2 linked regions of the Schizosaccharomyces pombe genome follow. Changing the gene in region 1 together with any one later gene gives a genetic interaction. Each region holds a gene or a part of one and is shown on either strand. Other genes may lie near its edges.

The links.
Region 2: mutations in mus7 (region 1) and rad54 are lethal when combined (synthetic lethality), as found in Schizosaccharomyces pombe (one study listed by BioGRID).

Annotation. Positions count from the first base shown.
Region 1 is NC_003424.3:2,412,163-2,416,091, forward strand, and holds the start of mus7 (DNA repair protein Mus7/Mms22), read right to left. Parts: upstream 1,886-3,929; 5' UTR 1,809-1,885; coding exon 1-1,808. Other genes in the region: HbrB family protein involved in TOR signaling Bit2, read right to left, coding at 2,067-2,975. UniProt on the Schizosaccharomyces pombe protein: Involved in protection against replication-dependent DNA damage. May act by restoring active replication forks, repairing unusual DNA structures, and/or preventing aberrant DNA rearrangement at arrested replication forks.
Region 2 is NC_003424.3:3,681,636-3,685,564, forward strand, and holds the start of rad54 (DNA repair protein), read right to left. Parts: upstream 1,631-3,929; 5' UTR 1,511-1,630; coding exon 1-1,510. Other genes in the region: EF-1 alpha-binding zinc finger protein Zpr1, read right to left, coding at 2,087-3,466. UniProt on the Schizosaccharomyces pombe protein: Plays an essential role in homologous recombination (HR) which is a major pathway for repairing DNA double-strand breaks (DSBs), single-stranded DNA (ssDNA) gaps, and stalled or collapsed replication forks.

The sequences.
Region 1 (3,929 bases):
TTTAATTCAATATTGTCCCTAATGTAATGGTCTAATTTGGCAACTTTTTGGCATTTGTCATGTACTGTATGAGTCCTTTTTAACTTTTTGGATTTTTTGTATGAAACGTTATTAGAAAAAAGAGAAGAAAATAGCTTTCTTTTTTTTAAGAGTTCCTCGCTAAAATTTTGAAGATGACTCAAACCGTTATTTGCTGCTGTTTTAGCGTTAATATTTACACTATGCTTTTTAGAATTAACAGAAAAAATATTTCCACCAACTGACTTAGAATCTGAAGGCTTTTTGTAAGAATGAGATTGTTGAACAAGCTCATGTTTACCTGAATACCAATCAGAAAGAACTTGATCAATAACTTGGCGATCGGATTCTTTGTCGAAGGAAAAATACTTTTTGGAATCCATTTGTCTTTTTCTTCTAATCATTTTTGGAATATGAGATGAACTTCGAGCAAACACCCTCAAAAACTTTGGCGCCTTTTTCCCATACGATTCAAGGATAAGGTCTGGTAATTTTTCCACTTCGACATATTTAAATCTATTTTTTTTCATTTTGGTTTTAGTTGTGCGATAGACAGGAATAGTAGAAACAGCATTGGCTGCTACATTTAGCTGAAAGGGGTTTTCCGACGTCAAAGAACTTGATTTTTTAAGAGCGGATAAACTTCTTTTAGGAAGCCATAATTGATCAACCACATCTTCTTTCAACCAGCCATTATCACGAGAAATTGAATCTAAAAACTCGCTGGTGTCAAACCGTGAATCATCAGTTGGTGTTGGCGTAGAAATGCTATTGTCAGAATCCGATATTTCGTTTCCTAATTCACTAGATAGTTTAGCTGTCGATCTAGGATGCAACTTCCGTCGAGCCACACCTTTTATTTTTTCTCCCTCAATAACACTCTTGTGTAATGATGTCTTTTTTTTGACACCTCTATTTTCCAATTTTTTTTTTTCTTGAAGAGTTAGAAATGATGGTGGTAAAACTCCTCGTAATCTTTTCTTTAAAGTTTTCAAATTCAGATCACTCACAGTAGAATTCGATGAGATATTTGTCATAGACTGATCCGAATCGGAAAGTAAAGACTCAGATTCTAAAGCCTCTTTGCTAGTTGAGGTTTTCTTTCCTTCAATAGTAGACGACAATGCGAGGTCATTGTCAGCTGTATTCAGATTAGATTCCTTTGAATGATCTTGCTCAGTATTAGACTCATCATCATCGCTATCAGATATTACAGCTCCATACCTTCTAAAGCGATGAGTAGAGGTCAAGGGTGGTTTACGTGAAGAAGCACGATTACGAACTATAACATTTACAGGTTTATGAGAGGACTTAGAAGTAATAGATCGATCAGAAGAAAAACCATGCGGTACGGTGATGGGTACCAAGCCTATTCTTTTAAACTCTATTTGATGCCTTAAGAAATCGTAAGTATAAGGCCGGGTTTGCTCAGGACGTCTAGGGCGAAAATCTCTTTTAACAACAACCGCTTCGTGTTCGGCATCTTTTTTAAAAACCTCAGTTCGTTTGTTTTCTTCTTCCCTCTTTGTTTCAGCTAAATTTTGATCACTTTTTTCAAAAGAAACATTCCTATTCAATTCGGGCAATGAAGACACCGATGACTTTGTAGAACCGATGGTGGTTTCATTGTTCAGAATTTCTAGCTTATTTTGATTTTTTTCTTTAGTAGCCGGCGTAATTCCATCGTATTCATTTCCACGTTGTGAAATTAAAGACCCATGAGTATTTGACCATTCACTTCCAGAATCCTGAGAGTCAGACACATGGTCAAGTAAAAGGAAACTATTCATCCTACAAACCCATGGGAAAGATGGTATTACATAAGAGGGCTTAGAAGAGTTCTTTCGATTTTAAAAAGTGTCTATATGGAGGTCCTGTTGCATACTCCAGTTAGCAAAATAGAAACACCATTGAGTAACAAGGAATAGGTAACATTATTAAATACCTAACAAAAGCCGCAAATATTAAAAGATAAATTGCTTAAATGGGCTTTAAAAACAAATATTGAAAGTATAAAAAGTCTATCTTCTATTAAAACATATTAAATTTCAGACATATAAAAATTTTAAAGTCAGTTCGTTTAGCCAGTTCATTAGAAGATCTTCGGATTCATCTTGTGGCTTTATGAGAGAAATAATGGAAATCATCTGGACGAGTAAAATCTGCTGCTGAGTATTCAATTGAGGAATTTCAATGAATCGATTTGTCTTTTTCAGCTTTGGCATTACAACAAATTTACGAAACACCCAAATAGAAAACAGTTTCAAATCTATATTAGCACTCTTTTTTAACCAGTACGTTTTCATGGGCTCTTCAAATAATTGAGCAATCTCAAATTTTGCAAAAGTAACAGGCAAAAACGTAGCTTCGATATACGGCAATATTTCTAAATAAAAAATCGACCACACCTCAACAAGATAGTGTAGAAAGGAAGACTCATTGCTATTCATACCCAGCAATGAAATGTCAATTATCAGTCCAATTCGCATATTTCCCAAAAGCTCTTCAAAATCGCTTATTGCTTCGCAAGCGCATATACACCGCAGCACTAAAAAATTTAAATCTTCGATAATAACCTTTTTTTTCCAATTCTTCTTATCCTGTTCGGTGTAACGATGTTGCGGAAATATTGGTCTCATAGCAATGTTTAATTGTTTCCACGCTACCAACACAGTTAGCGGTCTTAGTTTATCAATTGCAGTTAATCGATGCGACATTTTATATCGCTTGAGAATAGAGAGTTTTCCCTTGTCAATAGATGGATGAGAGACTAGAGATCCATTAGAAACGATTGAAGCATCAGATATCGTCTTCCTTCTTTTTTTTTTAGACTTTACCGAATCTAAGTTAGATGTAGTGGTTCGATTTTCATCATTGTGAAACAAAAAAAAACAAGGGCATTGAACTTTGATAGTCGTTAACCCTAAATAAATTTTCCATTTATCCCTCAATTTCATTTCTAGCTTTTTTAAATATTAGACAATGGTAGATTTTAAAAGTTGAAATTCGTTGTTTGCATTTCTGTATCGCAGGCGTAAGTTACGTCAATAGATTCAATTACTCTATAAAAAATAAGCTTAATTTAACGAACTTGACAAAGGCTATATTTAATAACATGCGTCACGCACACTAAATAAATAATACAAAATATGAAACAGTATCACGTTAATTTTCGGATTTCTATTTTTCCAAGGTCCATTGTCGATGACTAAGTTTCTTTATTTCATGAACTTTTTTTTAAAGCCAATTTGAGCATATGCTACACCAAAAAAATGTGTATGGTCGATTTCCATGGCTCAAAGTTGTGAATATATTCATCGCTTTTGTAATACCTGCAATTCTACTATATGTTATGCTACATTATGCTTGTCTATCGCTAAATATCATATGTTAGAATATTAGCTAAGGTGTTTTTATTGGTAATTGAGAATAACTATTCTGTATACAAAAATACCCGCTGGTAACATCTATTAGATAATTACGAATAGAAGCTATAACTGAACTGAGGAACGAGGTTCAGCTGTAGGCAATATTAGTGATGGCTAAAAATGTAATCATATAGAATACTAATAACAAGTTGCTACTTACATTACCAGTATAGTGCAATATAATAGATAACAAGGAGATTTCGACGTAATCCAACGTATCGTTACAACAGATAACAAACTGCGTAGCTGATATAGGAATCCTAATAATATTTTATTCTTGGTATATTTAATAAATAATGTTGAGATGCTAAATCAACAATTCAATGAAGCCATCAATTGTCACAAAGCGTTTAATGCATTTTTAATTATTCATATTTGGTGCTCAATAAGTTTACTAAGCCTTGATGATTTAACAAAAGATTATTGCATACCTGTGCTATCAAAGCCCAATAGTATTTGCTAGTAGACTAGGAGACTTTGGTA
Region 2 (3,929 bases), 1.3 Mb from region 1:
GATTGACAATCTTGGCTAACTCAGCTAACTTAGCATCACCATTCTCCTTATCTTTTTCTGTTCCGTCAGCATCACGACCTTTTAAAATTGGAATTTCATAATTTTTTCTGAACTCTTGCCTTGAACCTAACAACCCAGGATTCGCAAAATTTAACAACGAAAAGTATTCGCTTAGATCATTTTGAATAGGGGTACCAGAAAGGATGACACGCCTTTGAACGTTTAGCTTGTCTAATGCCGTAAAAGTCAAAGAATCACTATTCTTAAGACGATGACCTTCGTCACAAAGAAGCATTCCAATTTCTGCGTTGTTGAGATGCTCAACATAACTTCTAAGGGTTTCATAACTGGCAATAAGCACTGGACGTGTGACTTGTCGTCCATGTACGGATGCCCATTGTTGCAAAGCCATGATTAACTCCTGTTTGGAGCTTTTACCGTCCAATATGAATGGAGTAATAGCATCTTTTCCTAACCATTTGACAAGTTCATTAGCCCAATTTTTGACTAAAGAAGAAGGACAAGTTATAATTGCCTTTTCAATTGTCGGTTTTCCAGCCTGAGGAGACTGTTTTAAAAGGGTCCATAACAAAGCAATACATTGAAGTGTCTTACCAAGTCCCATCTCATCTGCCATAATACATCCATTTGCACAACGGTCAATCCTTCCAGTTACACACTTGTACAAGAATTTGACACCTTCTATTTGATGAGGTCTTAGAATACGAGCAAGTTTTGGATCAATGACAACAGCAACAGGAGGAGGTGGAGGTTTTTCTTTCTGAATTCCTAGTAGATCTTTCAAACTTTTATTTGGTCTTCTATGCTTTGAGGTATTAGAGGTTATGAGACTTTGCTCGGTAGAACAGCTAGCCACTGTGTCAGTGGAGACACATGAATCATGGTCACTTTCAGGCTCACTATCAGAAATTTCTTTCTTTCCTTTTCGATTTTTTAACAATTCATCTTTTTTACGTTTTTCCGCTAAGACCTCTTTTATATCAGGAATGATCTCATCTGCATCAGTAGTGGGATCATATAAAACGATAGCAAATTCATCAGCAGGATCGTAAAGGGGACGAGGAATAAAATCCACCTTCCTTTTCATTCCCAGTGTAGGAGGTGGACGATGTGCACACAGTTTAGATATATCTTCATGACCCTTGATAGGTTTAGGCACAGAGAACTGTTTCTTAATGACTGTTGAGGGATCTCGTCGTTCATGATTTAGTATTAATCGATTAGCTTCTTTGATGGTTGCCAACCCAGACACATTTTCAGATACGTAAGCTGAATCATACTTCCCATCAACAGAACCATATTCGCTGTAGTTAACTCTTGGCTTTTTGCGTAAAGGAAGCTCTTTTCGCTTTTCTGAAATCACTAAAGAAGGGCATTTAAACTTTTTAAACAACTTTCCAGGAACATTCTCTTTGTTTTTTGATAAAACAGTATTTAACTTTGAAGAAGTAGAAATTCTAGGTTTAGCAGTTGTTGGTTGCTGAATCATTAAATATATTAGCAATTATTAAAAAAGAGATTACTGAAATAGAAGAAAGGGTAGGAAAAGAGGGATAAGGATTCAAACAAAAAAAAAAGGAAAGTGCTGTTTATACCAATGGTATGTGTTGAGAAATATCTAGATGTATATATAAATTAAATTCTATTACTATTATAGCGTGTCGCGTTCTTTAAATTACGCACCATTGTTACCCTTCACTAAACATGGTATACAAATAATGAAATTGTGAAATATGAATCAATTATTTCTGGTATCGGCTAAATATGTGTTACAAGTTTGTTATTGGTAATAATTTTAGCTTCACTATCTAACATTTCTTGTAGCAAATTTTATGGTTTACTAATACTTCGAATTATTAGCCTCATAACATTTGCGATAAATCAAGTAACTATTTTAAACTAAAAGTAAAATAATAAAGCATCAGTCTCTAACAAAAACATTACGGGAAATAAAAATTAGCTAATCTACTATACTATTATATCTTCATAGTCAATAAACCCCCCAAAAAAACATAGTATTACTATATTAAATACATTCCCTAACATTTGACAAAAACCTCGAACTTTACTTCTTACCTCCATCCTTTTCATAGTTTTCTGTCTTCATATCGTTCAGACCCAATTCCTCATTTACTTGGAATGAACGTTCATACTCCTCAATAGTCATATTTGGATCTGGATCGGGAGCGTAATAATTCTGCAGATAACTTTGTGAAAGAGGATCATCTAAAATAAGAGTGAATTGAGTAGCACCCTCACGTGCAGCCGTCAAGTTGCAGAGAAATTGTTGCCAGTTAGCGACTTGCTCAGGAGTCATAGAATCGGTCTCCTGAGAAAACACACGGCCATATAACTCATCATAAACTTGAGCTAGAAGACCTTCAATGGTTGTGAATCGTCCACCCAAAGTACCTGGGAACAAATCAAGTCCAAGTTCAGGAATTTTAAGAGATGCGGTTTCAGATTTGAGAATATCACGGGATAAGTCCTCGGCATCCATGACCTTTAAAGTAATTTTTCGACCTTTGGGTGGAATTTCACCACCAGTTTTTACTTCGTTGGAACGATATCCACAACGATCACAAACAGTAGACATGATAATAACTTCTTTGAAATGGGGAATATCAAGCAACTTCATGTGGGTGTCACATTGATGTGAACAAGAGGGACAAGTTGCATGGAAGGTATGTACCTCATTGGGATCGACTTCCACAGCAGTAGCATCATGTTTAAGTGTATTAGAAGCGTTGTTTGTTTGTGTCTTGACGTCTTCAGGTTGATCAGTATCCACAAGACCCAGCTTCGTATTCTGCTCCAAAGTACGCTTGTAGCTAACCTGAGACCATCGGTCACCATCTCGGCCAGGTTTCATCTCGATCCAGCTGTTGCCCGTAATATCGTCAACTGTGATGGTAAATGGTACAGATCCAGAACGTAGACTATTCACTTTCTCAATGAAAGCATTTATTTGGTCATATAACTGAGGAGCAGACTCCTTACGAGATTCTTGTTCTTTACTTAAATCATCCACCACATTACTCAGAATCCCCTCAATGGTAGTTAACTGGCCTAACCTTCCCGGGATTTCTAGCTGAATTTCAGGAATACTGACAATAGCCTCCTGGCTCTTTACAACTGTCCGATTTAAATCTTCCTTATCCTCAACATGGAAAGTAATTTTGCTTCCTTCCGGTTGAATTGTCTCAGCGTGTTGAACTTGCGCATTCTTAAACCCACAATGAGGACATTCAAACGACATTAAAACAACCTCACGGAAGTATGGAATGACCGTCAACAATAATTTAGTAGTACCGTTTTTTCCACACTCCATACACAACGATTCGACTTCTTGAACACCATTTCCTTCCCTATCCTCAGCTGTTGACACATTTTGTGCAGCATTGCCAATACTTGTGAACAATTCTTCCTTTTTTTCTTCCGCCATGCTCTCAAATTTTCTTTTTAGCGTTATTTTGATTAGATGTGTTTAAGGACAAGTACAGAATAACTTGTACCAATATAAAATTTGTCTTCACTTGAATGGAAAAAATTTTCCTTAATGACCCAATATAAACTGTCTTTAATGAAAAACAAAATTAAAACTAAAGTAAAATATGGTAAAATGCAAAAATTTTACTTTTTTAAACCAAAATATTCTGTTTAAAAAGAATCCCCCAGAATATTCACGATGGTTAACTGAATGGTTTTGGTTAGCCAGCGGTGGCACTCAGTAAACAAATGAAGGAAAGTCATGAAACCTTGGATTCCTTCGAATAGAACGTAGAATAATACCTGAAAGCTAATCCTGAATACCTCAATTACCTTAAAATGAGCTCAGCTATGTGAAGGGTTAAAAAAAATTTAAAATTTTTTTCCAAATAGCAGTGGTACTTATTGTATGTAAACTT